Caenorhabditis elegans: one gene and its partner. The protein of the gene in region 1 purifies or fractionates together with the protein of each later gene. This does not show direct contact. Each region holds a gene or a part of one and is shown on either strand. Other genes may lie near its edges. The genes, in order: C53B4.2 and F20C5.5.

What was found.
Region 2: the proteins of C53B4.2 (region 1) and F20C5.5 fractionate together in Caenorhabditis elegans (co-fractionation; one large-scale study listed by BioGRID). This does not show direct contact.

Annotation. Positions count from the first base shown.
Region 1 is NC_003282.8:8,961,582-8,972,866, forward strand, and holds C53B4.2 (DUF4776 domain-containing protein), read left to right. Parts: upstream 1-4,601; 5' UTR 4,602-4,629; coding exon 4,630-4,653; intron 4,654-4,701; coding exon 4,702-4,755; intron 4,756-4,813; coding exon 4,814-5,153; intron 5,154-5,198; coding exon 5,199-5,632; intron 5,633-5,728; coding exon 5,729-6,073; intron 6,074-6,121; coding exon 6,122-6,253; 3' UTR 6,254-6,417; downstream 6,418-11,285. Other genes in the region: tpra-1 (Transmembrane protein adipocyte-associated 1 homolog), read left to right, coding at 3,275-3,502; suex-2 (Major facilitator superfamily (MFS) profile domain-containing protein), read left to right, coding at 6,787-6,793, 6,886-7,002, 7,045-7,136, 7,181-7,263, 7,399-7,681, 7,845-8,149, 8,191-8,305, 8,351-8,644 and 2 more; C53B4.3 (Major facilitator superfamily (MFS) profile domain-containing protein), read right to left, coding at 9,384-9,581, 9,655-9,798, 9,861-10,019, 10,070-10,222, 10,543-10,824.
Region 2 is NC_003282.8:8,762,512-8,774,033, forward strand, and holds F20C5.5 (PACT_coil_coil domain-containing protein), read right to left. Parts: upstream 7,129-11,522; coding exon 5,374-7,128; downstream 1-5,373. Other genes in the region: cdc-50.B (Cell cycle control protein 50A), read left to right, coding at 2,369-2,426, 2,474-2,608, 3,037-3,170, 3,491-3,686, 3,776-3,930, 3,977-4,199, 4,611-4,795; F20C5.6 (ELKS/RAB6-interacting/CAST family member 2), read right to left, coding at 9,443-9,756, 9,820-10,014, 10,140-10,677.

The DNA of each region.
Region 1 (11,285 bases):
AATTTTTCAAAAAGTGTTTATATTTATAGAAAAAGACAAATTTGTTAGTTTCCACAAGTCTGAACATTCATATTACATTTTCAGTTGAACAAACATCTAAATTAGAGTTGATTGAGCATATAACAGTCTTACTTTCAGAGACTTATAACTTGGTTGGCGTTTGAATTAATAAAATGTGGTCAACTAGAGAGTTTTTGACAATAATACAAAGAACATTTTGTCAGTTGGTATCTTTTTGTTATCTTTAGTGATTGTCGAGATGTGAGCCCCAAAAGATGGCCAAAATATTCTAGATCTGTGCTCAACTTTATCTCGGTTCTCGATAGAGATGAAAAAATGATTACAGCTATCAAAATGTTTATTGCTTTAAGCTTAAAAAGGTTGTAGTTGGTGACTTTTTGATATATCGTCTTTTGAAATTGATACAACCGTTTTAAGACAGGAGGTTTTATTGTTCAGAGCTCCAAGGAAAGTCTGTTTCAGTGATCGAGAGCACCGAATTTGTCAAGAAAATGCATAAAACCAACAAAATTGACATATTTCTACAATAACTGATAAATATTTGATAATATTTGAAAAAAAAATTTTTGATTTTTTCGAAAAGAAAGTTCAAAGGGTCTGCTTATATCTCCGTGGAAAAAATTATTATGATTAAGTGATTAACTACAAAGTTGTTTATTTTAATTTAGAGAACAATTTTGCAGTTGACCGTTTGTTGCCAAAAAATTTGTTGGTTGAGATATGAACGGAAAAAGAAGAAGAAAATACAAGCATGAAGGTGCCCAACTTTACACAACTTTATCTCGACCAACAAATTTTTTGACAAAAACCGGTCAACTACAAAGTTGTTTTCTAAATTAGGATAAACAACTTTGTAGTTAATCACTTGATCATGAACATTTTTTCCGCGGAGATATAAGCATCCGAAGTGAATACGTTTTTTGAGCATAGTGGTTCTATTATACCTCAATTTTGGATCTCAAACTTGTTTTTGAACATTCAAATGTAAGAAACATCACATTTTGACGGTTCTATAACATCTGGTCAGTTTTTAGAAAGGTTTCGAAAAAAAATGTTTTTCGATATTTTGAAAAAAAAATGCAAAGGGTCCCCCCTTACAAAATTTTTTTGAAATTTATCCAAAAATTTTTTTTTTCGGAAACTTTTTAAAAACTGACAAGATGTTGTAGAATCGCCAAAATTTGATGTTTCTTTTATTTGAATGCTCTAAAACGGGTTTGAGATCTGAAGTTCAATTTTGTAGTTGATTCTTCTCCCTGAAAAAAATTGGTGATTGAGATAAATTTGTGTTGAGTGCAGCGAGTTTATGCTAGTATTTTCTTCTTCTTTTTCCGTTCATATCTCAACCAACAAATTTTTTGGCAACAAACGGTCAACTGCAAAATTGTTCTCTAAATTAAAATAAACAACTTTGTAGTTAATCACTTAATCATAAAAATTTTTTCCACGGAGATATAAACAGACCCTTTGAACTTTCTTTTCGAAAAAATCAAAAAAATTTTTTTTCAAATATTATCAAATATTTATCAGTTATTGTAGAAATATGTCAATTTTGTTGGTTTTATGCATTTTCTTGACAAATTCGGTGCTCTCGATCACTGAAACAGACTTTCCTTGGAGCTCTGAACAATAAAACCTCCTGTCTTAAAACGGTTGTATCAATTTCAAAAGACGATATATCAAAAAGTCACCAACTACAACCTTTTTAAGCTTAAAGCAATAAACATTTTGATAGTTGTAATCATTTTTTCATCTCTATCGAGAACCGAGATAAAGTTGAGCACAGATCTAGAATATTTTGGCCATCTTTTGGGGCTCACATCTCGACAGTCACTAAAGATAACAAAAATATACCAACTGACAAAATGTTCTTTGTATTATTGTCAACAACTCTTTAGTTGACCACATTTCATTAATTCAAACGCCAACCAAGTTATAAGTCTCTGAACGTAAGACGGTTATATAACATCTTCTCTCAAAATTTATCTAGGGAATGCGTCTGTACATAGTGCTACTCACAATATTTCCATGTGAGTATTGCATAAAATATCTACAACAAAGAATCAAATACATATTCCCAGAAATCCTGTTTTTGGGTCATTAGGATGTAAATGTAAACATTAGAAGAAACATATGAGACGATATGATGTCGTAAAACAATAACGAGAGGAAGGTATTTACAACCTACAGACCCAAAAACATCTCTTATATCTAGAATATATCTGAATTTTGTCTTGTTGTCATAGACATAACCATTCCCAATAAAATATAGACCAAAACGAACTATTTTTCCGAGAATTGTAGACATTTGCCGTTATCGAAAACTAGCCCACTACAAAAATCAAATTAAAAATTTTTCCGAAAAAAATTATTTTCATCAATTTTTCCATTTCAGTGTTAACATTTCACAAGTCAACAACTTTAGTCATCATTCGCATATTATTCGCATGTTTCCGGTCCGTTCAGTTATCGCTCGCTTATTTTTCGCCTATCTGCGCATAAAATTTGCAAGACAAAAATTTCACTCATCGCTCACCTATTCTTCGCCTGTGCGCGGCAGTAAACCTGTCGCTCGCTTATTATTCGTCTGTTAGCGGCCCTTCACCTATTTTTGACCTGTTATTCGCTTATGGCGGCTTACCTGTGTGGCCCAGTGGTTAGTGCGTATGACTGCAGAAATTTTGGTAGTTGGTTCAATTCTACCAAGTGATAAATTTTTTTGTTTTTTGTGAGTAATCGGGATTCGAATAGAAATACTCGATTTTATACAAAATATGGGTACGTCTCCCCTAATATAAAGCCTCTTCAAACTTCAATCAATCAAAACTCAGCTTTAACTGATTCATCGGGTGCATCTGTTTTTGGTCAAACCGAACTCAAAAATTAAGAAGACTCCCATTGACCTACTGAAATTTTCACAAACCCTCTAACAGGTTCGAGGCGAAGCCGTGAACCTACGCCCGGCAAGGGGACTCGCCTTACACCCCCTACAACTGGCGGGCCCGCAGGGCCCGCTAGTCTCTGAATTAAAAATTTCCAACTGACAAAGGATTTAGTATTTAATTTCATATAGTTAAACAATTTGGGAAATATTTGATCTAAATATTTGATGAATAATCAAAGTTGTTCACTCAGGTGCAAGACTAATAGAAGAATACCGTTTTCTGGATGATCAGTTAAAAACGAAAAATTCAAAATCAACTGGCCCTAATTTCAAACAAGTTTTTATAATTTACTTTATTTTAAATTTCAGAATCCTCACTACAACACATATTCAACTCCACTTATAATGACATCAGTGGAGACTGCCGAATCTACAGTAACCACAAGAACTGGATCAGATGATTATGCTCATCACAGAGATTCAATGCTCTCCGAACCATCAACAGGAACAACAACTCGTCATTTAAAAGGACTTGGACCACAAGGTTCACTTGTTTTCGAAGATGATCCATCATCACTGACAAGCCTTCGAATGTAGATTTTTCCTTTTTCTTTTTCAATTTATTATGCGTTCACAGAAACTGGTATTTCTCTTTGAATGCACAATATTTTCCCCATTTCATGTACTTCATTTTCTACAATCAATCTTGATTTTCCATATTCCCCAAGTTTTTAATTTCCTCCCGGTCATTTCTCATTCTCACATCCTTTGGGTCTCATTACGAAAAAAACACCGATAATTGTCAAAAAGATTATCACTTGGATCATATTGACTCCTCTCGTTCATTGTCTATTAATGTGACCGGTTACCTGTATTTGTACATAGAATAGGCACTTTCAACCAATCATTTGATTACTTGTATTACTTTCAGATCACACAGCTTTTATCTTGTTTTTATTCAGGCTTTTCAAGTGGAAAAGTTCTCGAATTATTTTTATTTTATGTACGGTTTTACGAACGTTTTGAATAAAATATTGTTGAAACGATGAAACAATTCAAGAGTAATTACCGAAATTGCATGCTTCATCTTGCCCGCGTATTTCTCCGATAAATGAGTAATTTCTTCATTTTTAAAAAGTTTAGGAAAAAAAATCCTAAACTTTTTAAAAATGAAGAAATTACTCATTTATCGGAGAAATACGCGGGCAAGATGAAGCATGTCTAATTTTTAATTTTTCATAAAGTTAGTACAAACGGTGAAAGTTAGTAATGAAAGTTAAAACTAATCTTTAAAAAATGCCCGTTTCCGACAACTTTTATTGCTTACGAGTCCTCGTGGTAACGTTTGGGAATTCATCTCGCGCCCTTTTGGAATTTTGGAAAGTTTTCGGTCAACCCATTTCCTGAAGTAGAAATAAACTACCTGGAAGCTCTCAATAAATTAATGTTCTGTTTTATGGGTTTTCTGGAGAAACAACGCCCCTTTTCTCCCATGAACATGGGAAATTAGCTACAACCAATATAAATTATAAAAACTCCGTTCCCATTCAGACACAACATACCGTTAACAAAAATCCCGTGATCATCAATAATTTTCTAGATGTTTTAGATTTAAATTTAAAAAGATCACGTGGTTTAAACTTATTATGTATCAAGCGGAAGCCTCGTGGAAATTTAAAAAAATCAATTTTTTGAATCATTTCTATTCAGAAGACTCCCGCAAAATGGACGAAAAGGGAAAAGCAAAAGTGAGTCAAGAATATTATGATGTGCTCTCCCATATTTAATATTTCCAGAGATTCGTGAGCAAATCTAGACAATCTAGGCATAAACATGGAAGTTCTGTAGTTGTGAGTTTAATTTGCACAAATAAAAATGTTCACAGTTTAAATAAACTTCGAAATATAGAAGTCGAAAGCAAAGTCAGTATCTCGAAAAATGAGAAGGACCAAACAACCAGTAGTGCAACCTGTAGTGCAAAAAGCTGCGGTATTATCCCCTCCAGATAAAAAAGAGAAAGAAAATAAAAAGGACGAAAAGAAAGATGAAAAAAAGGAAGAAAAAAAGGAAGAGAAAAAGGAAGAAAAAGGAGAAGGAGAAAAGAAAGACGAGAAAAAAGATTCGAGTGCGCCATTGAAGAAACTGTCAGAAGAGAAAAAGAAAAGTTCTCGAGCAAGAGGAAAAGAGAATATGGGTCCAGGATCAGATAGTGATTTAGATGGAGATTTAGGAATGAAAAAGAGTAACAGTGAGTTACTCTATCGATTTTTAGTTTTCAATCTAATGATTTCAGTTGTACTACCAAATCAAAAGGGAAAGCCCCAGAAAGTATCAATCAAAACTCGTGACGTAGATCAGAAGGAAATGGAAAAACTTTTGAAAAAATTGAAAGAAAACAAATCTCAATCGATAAAAGCTACATCCCCTCTTGACGATAAATCCAAAATGTTTATGGATCGAATTGTTAAAAAGCCGTATCTTTCTAAATACACCACTAAAGAGAAACTGACTCTTTTAACTGATGATGGAACAGTTGATGACATATTCAAAGAATCAAAAGTTAAAAAAGACAACTCAGCAACAATTGTTCCTGTGGAAGACTCGTATGATTATGTGCCAAAATTGTCGGTTGTAGAGAAGATGTCGGATCAGAATATCTACATAAAGGGAGAGACTGATTATGTCCCATTTTGGGCAGCATATGTTGAACCAAATGAAGATGATACCGTAAGTTATTTTTTGAGTGTGATGTTGCAAAAACCACATTTTTCTGAACAATTTGAGTACCGTGTGACTTCATAAAATAACTGGTGAAATTTTCAGAAAGACGTGGAACCGCCCATATCAGTTGGAAGTGATCATGTCGAATCATTTCATGAAGGGAAACTTACACTCAAAACTATCAAATCCGCGAAACTGGTGCTTGACGAATATCAGCCATCTTGTCTTTTCATGAAACTTGACGAAAAGTTCTTTCATCCACATCTCGTTTTTTCAAATACCGTTCGTTCACTTATTAATGTGCAAGGACCGGCTATGGAGAAATTGCAACCGATAAAATCTAGCTCAAAAAATGAAGATGACGAGGGAGAAAGGGAAGAGGCAACTCAATTAGAAGGAAATAATGTAACAATGGCCGAAAATATTTCTAGAATTTTTAGTTACGAGGTAGCCGATTTCATTCTCCTGGTATGAATCTATGTTTTATTTTTTCAGAGATCCCGTCCAATTCTTTCTGCTCGAGAAGCAAAAGAACGTAATCAGACATTGCATGTATCTTCTCCAAAATCGATTTCTCAAAAGCCACCAACAACAAACGTCGAGATGGAAGATGAAGTATTCGATTGATTTCCATATTTTAGAACTGTTTTATTTATTTTCAAGATTAGTATCACTGATAAATCACTTTTAAAAATACTTTGTTTTTTTTATTAGCACTGCCAAACCTGACTGAACAGTTCCAGTTCGTCCGGTTTTCTCTCAGATTTTGAAACGCAAATAAAAAAATTAAAAAAGGTTATCGGACGGAAATCGGACGTCTTGTGCGCTGAAATATGATAAGATATATCAATAAAATGCATGACTAATTGTTTTTAATTAAAATATTTTGGTATATGGATGAGTTAATTATTTTTGTTAAAGGTGCCTTTAAAAACACTATTTACAACTGTTCAAACCTGAAAAACACAATGAATACTTACTTTAGTCCGGTACTCTGCATTGCCAAGGCAGTTTTGTCATGTGAAACCAGAATAAATTACTGACTTTGCACGGACATTTTGTTTAAAAACAGTTTTTGTTTTATTGGAATTTTTACTGTTTCGTTGAATTATATTTTAAAAAACACACATTTATAAATTGGAGGAGATAATATCTAGGATATGTCAGGTACGGATAATTTTTGTTTAATGTTTCACTATTTAGTTTAAACATTTTAATGTTATGGTAATTCTGTAACTTTTAGATTGTCTATATTTTAGGGTCATGGCGTTTGGATATTACTGTAATGGTGTTATATCAAATAACACTAATCTTCTCAGCTCAGCTGATATTTGTAATTTTTCTAGACTTTATGCCTTCCACGTATTGTACAGATGGTAAGAATAGCTGATTTTAAAAATTTTAAATGAATTTTTCAGACAATTTTTGCTACAAACTACAAAGTAAATGCTTGATGGATTATGACCATAATGCTCAGAATTTATGTCCGGTCAATATGACCGAGAATGCAGTTTGTTTGAAAAAAACTTTACTCATAAAAATCTAATTTTACAGAGCAAGTGCATTGCTGATCACAGTAGATTGTTTTTTCGAAGTGCACAATTTGAATATCAACAAGATTGTACAGGCCTAAATGGGTGATTTTCAATTTTCATTCAAATTCATCAAAATATATTTGGTTTCTGGTTGAGATTTCAATTGTGAAAATCTGAAATCCTCTTTTTTGAATTAAAAAAAAACTTTAATTATAACAATTTTTAATGTATACATAGATTTTCTCTCTCCACCGCTACATTTATTGGAACTTTACTTGGAAACATTGCACTTGGATTCCTGGCAGATAAATATGGCCGTCGAACAATTTATCTATCATCTCTACTTTTTGGAATTCCATGTGTTGTTCTGTCAGCTGCAATCACAAACATATATTCATTTTACATATTTCGTATTTTAATTGGAATTTCTGTGTCTGGAACGCTTACTGTTGGATGGACGTATGCCACAGAAATGATATCACCTAATCGAAGATTAAGAATTTTGGCATTTTCCAATTGGGTAACTTATGTGATACTTTCAATAGAGTTTTCAATTTTCGCGCTATAAAAACAATTTTGACAATTTTTAAAGAAGTTAAACAATTAAAAATTTTTGGTGCTTCTCTACCTTTAAAAGACGTGTTTTAATCAGTGAAAATTATTTCAATTGTAAATTATTTTAGCCAAACGCTCGAATGATTCAAGTTGGCCTTGCATACATATCTCAAGAATGGAAGACTGCAACTTATATTTGTGCAGCAGTTTCATGTTTATCTCTTCCAATCCTTATTTATCTCCCAGAAAGTCCAATTTGGTTGGATCAAAAACAAAAATACAAAAATGCATCAAAAGCCAGAAAACGTTTGCGAAAAATTGGAAAGTTTTATTCAAACGAACACAGTACTGTCGTAGCAAATAGAAAGTTCACGCCAACGAGAATTCTGAAAGATCCGAAGCTCCGAAACAGTTTCTTTATGATTATTTTTATGTAATTAACTTTGAATGATAGTAGGTAATATGTTTTTTCAGGTATTTCTATGTTGGGTTAGCAGTTTATATCACAGATTTAAATGGAGCAGATATGACAAAAAACTTATATTTGGGACAGTTTTTGTCCGGTTTAGTACTCTCAATCGCTCAATTTGTAAGTTTATTTAATCATTTATTCTTTATGATCCCATTTTTTCAGATAATTGGTATGACAGAGCCATATTTAACAGGATTAGGCCGCCGAGTTCTCTTTCTTATCGCTCAATTTATTGCTATGCTGTGTTACATTTGTATTTTGATATGTCTTTATTTAAATTGGAAGGGCTCATTCTTATATCTTTCTGCCTATACATTAGCTTATGCTACTCAATCTCTTTGTCTGGAAGCTGCATATCTTTCTCTTGTGGAACTTATGCCAACTGATGTTAGAGCCACTGCAGGATCAACTGCCAACATTTGTATGAAAATTGGAACTATTTTGGCAACCTTAACGGTAAATTAATTATATTCATTTCACGGAGATGTGAGCAGAAAAGTTTTAGAAGCCGTTGAAGTTTGCATATGAACCATCACTATTCTTCATTAATTTGTCAATATGTACGATTGGAATGATTCTTGTGTTTTTCAAGTTAGAGGTATACAGTTTTAAATGTTCTAGAACTACAAAAAACTAAATAGTCGACTTCTTGAAAACTGTAAATAATACTTTTCAGGAATCACGAGAAGCTGATATGAAAATGATTGGACAAACGAATGATAACATAGCTTCAGCTCACAATGAAGAAGAAATGCCAAACCAGACAATACAATTAAAAAATTATTCAAATAATTAATTCTTTGACAGCGAAATTGAGTAATAGGCGAACTTTATTATAAGTCTTACACCCCCATAGCTCCATTTGCATGTCTCATCGCTGTCTTTAAGTTAAACTTTTTTTTTGAAAAAATCATTTCAATCATTCAAAATACGTGTCAAGGCGTCTCTTCTTTTAAATATTTTAAAAGTCAACTAATTTGTGATAAACTCAAAGAGAATCGAGATATGAGCTGTCAAAGTAGATCAACTTGAAAAAAGAAGTTGGTGCATACCAGTTGTACTTTTTGTGAAGTTTACTACTAGTTAATATAAAAAAATAAAAATTGACATAGATTTATTAAAATTATCACAGTTCGAATCGATCACAGTTCAAGATCATTAAAATATTCTATTCGGTACTACACTCTAAACTCAATTAATCCGTTTTGTGTTTCTTAATGAGATTCTCGTCGACCGGCGACACAACCATAAATGATATTGCTAAAAGAGATCCAACAATTCCAAGAAGAGTCAGTGATTGGAATCCATAGTTTTGGAGAAGATAACCAGCAAAAAGTGGAGAGAAAGTACGAACAAGAGAGTTTAAAGATGTGGCCGTGCCCAGTACGATTCCCTGAAATGTTGAATTACCTCATTTGAAACACTGTGAATAATGAGTGGAACTGAACTAAAAGAAAACTCCTAACCTGTTCAGATTCATCAACTAAAGCTGTGAGAAGACTATCTGCACATGTTGCAACTACACTCATTCCAAGAGAAACAAATGGCATTATAACAAGAAGCATCCAGAAATTGAAAAAGACAAATGTGAATAAAGTGTAGCCAATAACCTGGAAATAATCATACATAAACTTTGAATCTTTAGCACAACTTTAAAGTAAATGTAACTTACAAAACTCAACGATCCGATTATTAAAAGTGTTTGCTCATCAAATTTTTTTCTAAGCCAAATGACTCCGAATCCATTAGAGAACATAATAAATACACCCATCATCATCTGCATTATTTGATTTTCTGTATTGGTAGCATTGAATTTCTCAATGATGTATAACTGTAAAAACGCTAGAGTTTAAATTGTGAAATTAACAATTTGAAACTCACATTCAGTACTGCAATTATCATAATGAAAGGAACAACTCCACCATTTTTCTTAATCATAACATTTGCTACTCCAGGCTTTTGAAGAATGCGAACAACATTTGTAATGTTTATTTGAGGTGGTGGACCATTTGCATTGTCCGTTGAGATTTCATGCTGGAAAATTTTTAAAGCTTATAATTTCTAGATATGAAAACTGGTGGATATATCATATATTTTGAAGGTGGAGTATTGGTCGTGGAAGCCTGATTACATATAAAATCGTGTAGATTTTTCAAAAACTTTCAGTCATTGTGTTGGTAAATTTCCAAATTAAAAAAAAAAACTTTTTAGAAATATCAATTACTGCTGCAGGTCTGAACCCCATAGTACATGAATGCAGATTATTAGAATATAGCAATCGAAGAAAAAATTTTTGGTCGACTTCTAGAATTCGATACTTCACTTTTAACAATAGCGTGTGTTTTGCAACTAACCTCATATGATTTTTTCTCAATACACGTTTCCAAAACTAATGATGGAAGAGCACAAAGTGCAGCAGAAACCAGAAGTGGAGCAAGATCTCCTCCAAGTTTTGTGGCAGCAATTGAGAATATTGGTACAAAGATGAAACCTATTCCAAATGTAAGTCCCATTCTCCCAAATGCACTTGTTCTCTCTTTTCCGGGTGTTGTAAGTGCTGATAAAAGAGTTTGATGGGCTTGCTGTCCATGCATAAAAACTACGGGAATACGAGATAGTAGAAGAGAATAATAATCCTGAAATTTGACTATTATTTATCTTAAGCCTAAGATATCTTGAAAGAAAATTCAGAAAATCGAGGATAGACTTTACATTAGGACTGGAATTCCTGGGATTTTGCCTTAAATGGCTCCAAATTATGTGTCATTTTAAAATTTATCAATTCAAGAAAATTTACATTAGTTTCGAAAAAGCCAACAATTGGGCGGGACATGCTCATGTCTGTAGGGGACAAATAGTTGGCTCTAATATTTCTAGATTTGTTTGATTTTTCTTTGTTGAATATGATATACTAGGGTATTTTGGAGCAATTCATAAAAAAACCGCACAAGTATTTTTCAATTTTGGAAAAGGTTCAAGTTTTAGATTTTTCACTAAAACAACTTTTTTGATATTTTTGAAAACTGAAGATAATATTAAATACGTCATAATGAAGCACACTCAAATTTAACTGCAGAAATTTTGGAGTTTTTATTTT
Region 2 (11,522 bases), 200 kb from region 1:
TTGTCACTCCCGAAAAGACGAGGAAGAAGTAATCGGAAGAAGATGTCGGAAGATGAGTGATAGTAAAAATACGAAGAGACGCAGATAGAGAGTTTGAGAGAAGGAGACTTCTGGAGGAATAAAAGGTGGTTTCAAGATGGGGGACAGAGAGGGAGAGGGTTAAAAGAGCACAAAATGTGCATAATATCGATCCTGCGCAGTTGAGAGACGCAGACAATGTGAAGAATGGAGCATATGTTTCTAGTGAACACTCAGAAGTAGTTGTTCATGTGTCCGAAACTTTGGAAACATATACATTTTAAACTTGACGTTTTTGAATTATAAAGGGATGGAGGTGCTTCAAAAAGTAATCATAGACATGTGTAGATTTTAAATTAAAACACAACTAGACATAGGATGAATCAGAAGCTTACCATAACATTGTTGATTTATTTAAAAATGAGAAAAAGTAAAATTCCGGATAGTCTTCTTTGAAAAAATTCACAGAGAAGTTATAATGTTTGATGATATTCACTGATTTGTAATACATTATTAGTAGCATGGCTTCTATGTATATAGACTATTTTTATATCACATACATGAAAAAGGGTTAAGGCATGCGCCAGGGCCTGAAAACGCATCTACCTACCAGGGGAGCTCTAGCTCTTAGTTATTAATTCAAGAGACTTTTGAAACTTGATTTTTTGAGATTTTATTCAATGATTGGTTTAAAAAAAAAGATTATTTGCAAAAATTACAAATTTTAATGTCTATACTCTGACATCGGTTTAGAACAATTTTAGACAGGCTGCAATGAAAGCAATGAAATAAAATTTCCTTGAAATTATAATAGAGAATCAGTAAAATGTTGCAGATTATTTGAAAATGCATGCAAGAATTCGCAGAAAATTCAGTGAAGCAGAAAAGTGCGACAGGAGACCGAAGTCTAAAAAAGTGAATTATGAATAAAAACAAATCATGTGACTGGATATAATTGAAGGTCTTGATTCGGAAAAGATAATTGGAGCTCTTTGCTTAGGCCAGGCTCTAGATATTTTATTGAAGCTTTTCAGAAATGTTCAAAATTATCAGGAACAGTTCTCTTTGCACTTTCTCTATGGCTCAACTACCAGGGCTTTTCCTTTTTCTTCAAAAAGTAGAATTTTAAATTATAATTTTAAAATTTAAATACCAAGCAAAAAATCATATACTCATCATATCATGTGATCATATCATATAATCATATAGGGCTCGTTCTTTTTTTTTTCAAAAAATTAAAAATTTACTAGAACCAAGCATATGACAATAAAATATTTTGAATTCACTTTAATGGGAAAAAAACAAGAAAATTTCATTAACATTATTGAAAACATCGTTGGCAATAGGAATGTAGAAAATCAAATCAAAATCAAGTGAGATTAGGAAAGAATCGAAATTAGGTAGAATTGGAAAATCTCGATTTTTTAAGTTGGATTCTTACACGATTTTTTCGGGATATTTTTCATTTTTATTTTGTAGTATTTCAGCCTAGACGGCTGAGAATTCTTTTCAAACCTTCCAATTTCAAAGAGATTCTTCCATAATTTAATATAATTTTCATTCGATATTAGCATCCATTATATACGTATGATTCCCCTTTTAAAATCGATTCTCCTTTTCAACTGACTCATCACTTAAGAATTGTTGAGTCATCAACTGATAGTGAGCAGACACCAACAACCATCTCTTTAGTTTCCGTTCCGTTTATTTTATTTTGGAATCTAACATATTCAAGAAAATTAACTTGAAATTAGAATAAATGTTTCTTGCTAGATTTTTTTGTCATAAGTATTTCTTATTTGGATTATAATTTTCATCTCGAAATCGTAGAGAGTTTTTCACTATTTTTTTTTGAGTTCTAAACACTTCCTTCCTCATCGATGATGAAGTTTTTGACAAATCAACTAGTTTTTTACTCATATCTCACATCAATCTATGATTTTATTCAAAAACAGTTAAATTTTTTTAACGAAATTAAAATGGTCATCGGACCGAGCAAAAGCTTTCAGAATCAACTGCTTCTTTAAATTCTTTAAAATTCAATCAACTTTTCGTGTCCAAAGTCACAAACTACACCTTTCAAAAAATATTTCTACATTATTTGCCCACATCTTGGCACAGTTTTCTTGCCATTCTTCAATATTTTCTTCTCTGCGTTTCCCACACTCTTATTTTCTGACTGTTGACTTTTCCATTGTATAGACTCAATTTTACTTTCGTTTTTTCAATTTTTTTTTCTGCGAAGTTCGGTGTTAAACCTCCATTTTGCAATATTAAAAATTTCAATATTGCCCGTTTTGGCTTGAATCTATTAAAATTATGCTGTTTTTTTTTCAGAAAGCACCAAAACATGCCAGATGATATTCCAAAATTGCCACGACACAGAGGAAAGAAAAATCAGCCGAAAGGTTTGAAAAATTTAGAAAAATCTGAAGTTACTTTTTTAATTCTTTAGACACACCTTGGAAACAACAAAAACTGCCTGCTTTACGGCCTCATTATAACATAACTTCAGCAATTCCAGTTACTCTGATAACAGGAGTAGCCACGTTGGCAATGGGAATTGCTCTTTATTTCGGACATAATGGATGTGAGTTTTTAGAGTTTATTATCCCAAAAACAAAAATATCAATTACTCTTTCCTGGTAATAAGTAAGAAAAAGCTAAAGAAAACAAATTTCTTGTCAAAATTTTACATTGTAAACCGATAGCAACAAAAAACAAGTGTCATAAAAACTGTAAGAAAATCGATAATTTTGCTACAATTTCACAAAGCTAAAAAATATTTTTTATTTTACCGTGTTAGTACCGGAATGTTCTGCACTTGAGCCTTACTATTAGTTACACAAAATGGATCAATTTTGAGCAATTTGTTGTGAATCTGACAATAATTAGTCCTATTGATATAGCTTTAGGCCACTCATTCGTGTTCGTAATTTTCGTTTTCCTTGAACTTGTAAAGGTACAGTTTTTGAAAACAGGGATGTAGTCCAAGTAGTCAAATATTGATTCTTGTAGCATTAGAACAAGAGATTGTGTACACGGATTGTGCTCTTTCAAATGGAACACAAGCTTCACGAATTATGAGAACTGAAATGGGAAATCAAACATTTAAATGTGCATATACAATTACTTTGAATGACGATTATACTGTAAGTTGAGTTTTAATTTTTAAATCATCAAAGAAAACATATGTATATTTTTGCGAAGGAAATTTTGGATCTGGTCTTAGGATGAAACGACATTGTAACATTTTGATTAAAGAGCCCTTAGTTGGAAGTGAGTGTATCTGGTAAAAACACAATTCGAAAATATTTAACCAAATATGTATAAAGCCTAGGTTGAACCTGCTCTGCAGTTCCTAATTTTTCACATTATTTTTCTTCAAAATATTACTATGATATTTCAAAGCCCGGGGTACCATCTTAAAATCATCATTTGCAAGTATCACAATTAATGTTCAACATTACAGGGCGAAGTGAAGTTTTATTACGGTCTTTCCAAGTTCTATCAAAACAATCGATTATACTTCAACTCACGAAACGATCAACAGCTACGTGGAAAAGTTACTGAAACTGACGGATGTGATCCATTAGAATATGTGGATGTTAATGGAACTAAAGTTCCCATTGCGCCGTGTGGGAAAGTGGCTGATTCAATGTTTAACGGTGCATTTCAATTGATTGCTTAATTTCAGTATTGCAACATTTTTCATTTTTTATAATACATCTAACTTCAAAATTTGTTTTTTTTTCAGATACCTTCGAATTATTTTATATCAATGATAAAGCCTCAAACGCGGTAACACGGGTTCCATGGACAACTCGTGGAGTACTCGGTGCAACTGAAATGAAAAGAAAATTCAGAAATCCGATTCGAGCGGAAAACCAGACATTATGTGATGTGTTTGCGGTTGAAATGAAATAAGAAAAAAAATAAATTAAACTCCATCTTTTAGGGAACAATGCCTCCGCCATCATGGAGATATCCGATCTGTCAATTGGGACTAAACAGTATTGATCCAGATGTTGGCATTGGTTTCGAGAACATTGATTTTATGGTTTGGATGAAGGTTGCAGCTCTTCCAAAATTCAGAAAACTGTATAGAATACTGAATCGACAAGTTGATATGTTCAGTAATGGATTACCTAAAGGACAATATCAGTTGACCATTAATTACAGTATGTTTATGTTAATGTTGAATTTATGTATTTATGCAAAAAATTTACTGCAAAAGTTCACAATAATTCCACCCAAACCTGCTTAAATATGGAGATGCAAGTTTTTTGTTTCAGATAAACAGTGGCTCCAAAAAACCAATCTTTGTTATAAAACCTCACAAAAATTTCTCGATATTTCTTTATTATGGTTCAAACTTTTGAGAAAAAAGGGAAATTTAGAAAATTCTTTCAAGCGAAATTGTCAAAATTTTTCAAAACCAAATTTGATTTTCCAGATTTATTTTTTGTCGACTTGACAATAGTAAAGAAAAAACAAGTTGAATTTTTCTATATGAATTCTTATAGCTGAACATTTTTGATCAATTTGAAAATAATCAATAGACAATTTTTCTCCATACTACTGATTTTCAGACTATCCAGTGGATATGTATTCGGGCGACAAGTACTTCGTTATAGCCAATGAAAACTGGGTTGGACCCAGGAATCTGTTTCTACCAGTAATCTATTTGGTTGTTGGAACATTCTTACTTCTCGTTACTATTCTCTTCATATTGATTTGGTTAAAACAGAGACTGTCGAGGGTTCATCCAACATGAATTGGAAAAACTAATTGAAAATAGACGGATGAACTTCAAATTTGTTTACAAGAGTTGAAGTCTCAAAATAAGCTGGTAGCATGTATTGTACGGGAACAGATTTGTATACTTTGCTTTGTAAATAAAATAAAATGTTATTATATTAGTCTGTAATTTTATGTATAGTTCAATTTAATTGAAATACATAATACCCCCTTCAGTTTATCAATTAAAGCTCCAACTATCATTCGCTGGTTGAGATTAATTGTCGAGTGAGGGCATCTGAAATGTAAATTTAAAATTACAAAATAAATAATTGTAAGTGCTATCAGATATAACAAATGATCATTTAATTAAGGAGGAAAAACAAAACATTAATTTAAAAAATTTATCAAAAAACAAAAAAAAACGGTCAAATATTTTTTCAAACAAACAAAGTAAAGCTAATTTCTATTAAAGTTGATCTAAATACTGGTTGTGTAGGCATACTATAGTTGATTTCAACGGGAAGAAGGCCAAATCAGCAAGTGTACATTGTGTTCTGAAAAATTGAAATTCAACAGTTGAATATAAGTAGAAACTCTACCTATTGCTAACATTTATTGCAATTCTTCTGTGTTTTGAACAATATCGAGATCGCTCCATCCATCGGATAATTCCGTATGATTTGATGACATCTCATCTACAGCTTCCAATTCTCCAATTATCTGATCCTTCAGTTTCAGCTTAATATCAAACGATTTTTGAATTTCCTGGATATTTGCTTCATAAACTCTCGAGATTTCAGATTTAACTTGTTGAATCTCTTTAAATTGCTCTGAAATCTTCTTCTCAAGAACTCTTTTCTGATAATATAGCTCAGTGATTTCTCGAGTTCTTTCTTTCATAATCATTTCAGTATTCATTTGTTCTTCTTTAACATTTTCTTCAAGTTTTTCAATCTTTCGTACATAATCACAGAAATGATCAACCACCTGCAACCATTGCGGGTCATTTCGCATAGTTTTGAGTCCTCCGGGTTGTTCAAGAATTGCGACAAGACTTTCTGTCTGTTCAAGTTTCAGTTTTTCTAATGTTTGCTCAAGTGGGAATTCTCTGACCTCCTGGTTTGCCTCTTCGGAAGGATCAGAAATTTTTTCAGAATGGAACGTCAAAATTTCTTGTTCCAAATGGGGATATGTTCTACTAGTCCCTTGACTAGAAGTCTCACTAGAGATTTTAAGTGTCAGTTCTCGAACATTACGCTCCAATTTCGGAGAATTTCCAGATTCAGTGCTCACATGACTCTTTAATTTGACAATCTCATCATTCTTATCAAAGATTTGATTTTCCAGTGCAGAGACCTTCACTTGACAATCTTTTGTCTTCCATGACAATTCATCTGCCAACATCTTGATCATGTTCTCATTCGAATCAATCGTTTTTTTCATATCTTTTATCATGTCTTCATCAGTTTTGATTGTAACATTTTGCTTTGAAATTTCACGTTTCACAGAATTCAAAGCAATTTTCAAAGAATTGTTGAAATTTTCGAGCATCAAACTTTCAACACCTTCGGATTTATCATTCTTGGCAACATTCCGATCATTATTTAGTTCAGTTGATATAGAATTGGTATCATCAACTGAGAATACTGTTAAATTCTGGTGTTGAAGTTCCAAAAATTTCTCCATGACTTTTTCAATACTATCCTTCTGATAAACATTGAAGGATTCTTGAAGCATTTTAATCTCTTCATTCTTTTTCTTGAGTTCGGAAAACAGAATATTCTTTCTTTTTTGGAATTCCACTGTCACTAAGAGATAATCATCTTTGTTTTCCAAAGATGTAACCAGCTGCGATGGATTCAAACTTTCCAAGTTTTTCGTAAGATAGTCAACTTCGTCTTCAAGTTTTTGAATGATCTGTTTGTTGTCTTCCATCTTTTTTGTTATAAGTATAGGATCCTTGAAATAAAGAGAAAACGTGACTATGATCTTGTCAATAGTTTCCAGCAAGTGGAAAATGTCATAATAATCTCCATCATTTAATACTTTTAATTTGTCCAAAAGTTGATCCATCAACTTCTCTTGTTTCGGTGTTTCATCACCAATTAATATTCCACCGTAACCGTTAACCGGATATGGCGACAAATCATAAAATTGTTTTTGAAGATCCTCATATTTAGTTTTGAGAATTGAGAAATCTTCATTTCTCATTATCAACAACTTCTTCAATCTTCTAGCTTCTGTCTCTGCTTTTATTTGGAAAATTTCGAATTGCATTTCAGCTAGTATTATCTCATCTTCTTGTTCATCGATTAATTTCTCAACTTCTTCTTTTAATTTTTTGATATTTTGATCTTTTTCTGCCATAGCATTTTGAAAATCTTCTAGTGTTGCAAACTGATATTCAGTGGATGTACTCGTGGATTCTTGAGTCGAAATTTCAGTGTTCTTGTTTATTCGTTTTACTTCGGAGCTTCTGACTATTTTCTCTGGAGTCCAAAACTTGTCTACTTCCAAAAAATGTGTTTTTTTGCTTCTGAAAAACATATATTAAGTAACATCTTTAAGATATTCAGGTGCACTTACATTTTTGAAATATTTGGTGACAAACTTTGAATTATCAATCTGAATTCTTCTGCGGTTCCAGTGAAGCAAGCATAATTCTGAAAATAAAAATTACAGCTTTTGAAACCAATGAAACGAAACAACTATTGTATTTAAAAAATGCTCACTTCAACTCCATTCTCTTCCACCGCTGCTTCTTTTTTCACACTTTTCCAGTTTATCAATTAAAAATTCAAGTTTCTGTTGTTCAGGTGAAGGCTGAGATGCTGTGAACGACATAGTTCTGAAAATAGTTAATTTAAATGTAGCAGAAAAATCTTTTCTAGAAAGTAAAAAAAATCAGTAAAAACAAGTACTAAGAGAAATTGAATAAACCAATCACAATAATGACTTCTTAACAAGCTGAAAAATAATGCAATAGCAAAGAAAAACGAGTAGTTTCGGTAACTCCATAGTACATTATTTCGTTATTGGGATCATCATATCATTTATTGATGAGGATATTATGAGTTAATTCTAATAACCCGAGAGTAAAGGCAAAAAATAGCATGGAGTGAAAAAACGGATCAAGCAAAGAAATCGTGTTAACTTTTATAACATCTAGTTGACACTGTCAGACCAAAAACTTAATAAAATTTTCACTTGTACATAACAGCTAGCTGAAACTGTAATTTAATTTTATATTCCCTCGGTCAATTCTAGCTAAATTAGCGATTCTGAGCTAAGCCTTCATTTCAAAATTAACAAAAAAAATGCAATGAAATTTTCACTTGTACATAACAGCTAGCTGAAACTGTAATTTAATTTTATATTCTCTCGGTCAATTCTAGCTAAATTAGCGATTCTGAGCTAAGACTTCATTTCAAAAATAACAAAAAAAATGAATTGAAATTTTCACTTGTACATAACAGCTAGCTGAAACTGCAATTTAATTTTATATTCCTTCAGTCAATTTCAGCTAAATTAGCAATTTTGAGCTAAGTGTTGTTGTTTCTTAAAACAATGCAAATTTTGATGGTTTTTCGTGTTCAGTGAACAAACAAACAAACAAAAAAATTCTGGTAAATAACCACAAGCTGAAACTGTGAGATAATTTTTTAGTGACCATTGAGTGACTGCTCATAGACAGTGGCTTGGAATTAAGACTAGAATGATTATCTCTCATGATAACATATTATACAGAGAAGTTGGGAAGAATGTAGGTCATTGTAAAGCGACAGACAGGTCGCATTGATCAAAGAGAATATAAGTCGAACTCTTTCGTTTGGTAACTTGAGGGCCAATGTTATTTGCTATTAGGGAAAATTAACATTTAAGGAGCAAAGGATTGCAAACAAAATGCGATAAGATATATGATTATAGTATTTTATCTTTTGTAAGTGTTGCCATAATTTCAGTAACGAAAAAAATAACAAGGCAATTTTAGATGTTAGGAAAATCGAATTTGTCTGACTAGCCAACGAATGTTCTCAATTGAAGTTATTGTTCTTTTTTAAGATGTTTTCATACAAATTAGTCAGTTTTCGAAGCTTCAGCCACACTTATCCGAATTGAGCAATTTCAAAACTATTTTTTGTAAAATAAAATACATCTCCGAAAATTTACATCGAGTTCCCAACAATACTGTATGGATAGAAAATACCTACCAATACTGCACATGAAACGCTCTGAAAATAATCGGAAAGGAAATGAGAACCTTTTAAATATAAAATGAGCACAATAAGTAATACTAACTTTATTGAGAAAGAACATAATTGTTATGAGAATAGTTTTTAAATGAGGTGAGAAACAGAATATCCCTGAGAATAAGTGAAGATACTTGAAAATTTGTGAAATAGTAATAAGTAAAATGTTTTCACATTAGTATAAACAATGACAGAGTCACGCAAAAGTACGGGAAACATATGAAGTTTATAATACAGTGCAGTACAGAAAAGGTACAAAGTTTACAAGAATACAATTGTTTTTTAAAAATAATTTTTTGTTGAAGGCTTAAGGTAATACGATTAAAGAGCTACTTTCTTCCAATACGAAGTTGAATTTAAAATTTAAAAGGAAAAAAGGAAAAAAATTAAAAAGCATATGAAAAATCGGGGCGCATTTTTAGTGCAAAAAATTAGATGGCATTTATTTTATCCCATCCATCTGAATCTTCACTGTGTGTGGATTTATTGTCGTCATCTTGATCGATCATTGTATCATCAGCTTCTCCTTCTTGATTGATAAGAAGACCTTGCAGTTTTTCCGAAAGTTCCGAAATCTTCAAATCCTTCTCTCTCAATGCATCATGCATCTTCTGAATTTCAGCGGATCGTTCGCTATTTTGAATAAGTTCCATCAGACACTCAATTTTGCTATCTTTTTCCATGATTTCTCTTTTATGATTTGCAATCTGTTCTTCTTTTGATTCACATTCTCTCTTTGAATTGGCTGAAATAAAAGAAAATGCTTACAGATGTGTGTAAAACCCCTAGAAAACTTTCACAAGCTTACCTGTCAATACTTCAAATTGCCCCAATAAGTTGTGCTTCCACTCTTCAGTTCGAAGTTTAAGATCTTCAACTGATGTATTAAGCGTGGCTTTTTCCTGCTGAGTGTTTGCAAGTTGCATCTCTAACGCCATGACGGTCGAGTTATGTTGATCCAAAATATGACTGATGTCTTGTCCCACATGTTTTTGGCGTTCTTCTGAAAATTATAGATGGTAATTTTTAATTAATACTTTAATATATAATAGAACAGCTCGTTTTTTCAATCAACTTCATCTGTTTTCTAACCAATGTTGGCCAACTTTCAGTAAAACAATAGCTTACCTTCAAGATCGGATTCCAATTTAGCAATTCTATCTTCCGCTCTTTTGGCACGTCTACACATCTTTCCTGTATTCATATCCGCTGAGCACAGTTCTTTTCTCAACGTACGAATCTTTGCCTTCTTTCTCTCAACATCACCATCGATCTGTTTACGAAGATTCGAAATTGTTTTGTTTTTTCCAAATATTTCTTCTGAATGAATATTTTCCATTTCTTCCTTCTGTTGAATCAACATGCGGCTCTCTTCCTTACACCTCTCAATTTCTTCTGATTGCTTTTTGAGTAACTCCTCCTGATTTTTGATAGTTGCCCGAAGCTCACTACCACATTCTCCAGGTTCCAAAAGTTGCTGCTCAAGTTGAATAATTCGTGCTTCACTCTCTCGAAAATCTTTTTGAAGAATCTCCGTATGTAGAGAGCATTGCTCAATAAGCTTATCTCTCATCACCAATTGTTCCAAAGTTTCCCATTGTTTCTTTTCCAATTGATCGATGTCGATTTTCGCTTGTGCCAATTCAGCTTTCAGGTTGTCCATCATACTTTCCAGTCCAAGTTACTAAAATATCAATTTAGACTCCATGTATTGAGGTAATAAAAAAGGTATTTGAAAAGGTGTAAAACCTTCCAAAAATCACAAGAAGTATTTGAAAAAAATGTAAAAATTTTATAACGACGAGGTTGAAAAAAACACTGAAAAATCAAGTAAAGCCCTGAGAGGAAATAGGTCGAAATGGAATTTTAGAATTATTGAGGAAAAGATTCAAGAATATGATATACAACTTACACGAAGAATTTACAATTTTGAAGAACAAAGGAAAATGAATAAAAATGCAAAATAGTTAATTTGAATATTAAAATAAATAGAATTTGACAGAAAAAATTCAGAAAATTGAAATTACGAATTAAAAAAGCTTAAGCATCGCTCATATGATCCCATCCATCTGATTCTTCACTTTTCAATGATCTACTGCACGAGCCCAAGTTAAACAAAGCCTGAAAATTCGGTTTTCCCACTTTGTCCAGGTCTTCAAAATAGAATTTCAAAACAACAAATCAACGAAAATTCGAGAAAAAAAATTAAAAACTCATTATGTATTAATTGAGAAAAAAAAGGAAAAACAAAAACGAAACAAGATGAAAATTAGATACCAGAGCTTGCTACTTACAAAATAAACAAAAATATTTACATACATGTTGCATCACTAATAAAATGAACTTAACGTATCAGTTAGAACATGGAAAAATGGAAATCAAATGTCATTCATCAGATCCCAACTATTAGATGCTTGACTCTTTGAAGATTATCCGTCAGAATCCCCATCGTATTCGAATTGCTGCAAATCCTCCACTTTTGTTTCTTTGTCCCGATTAATCAGAAGTCCT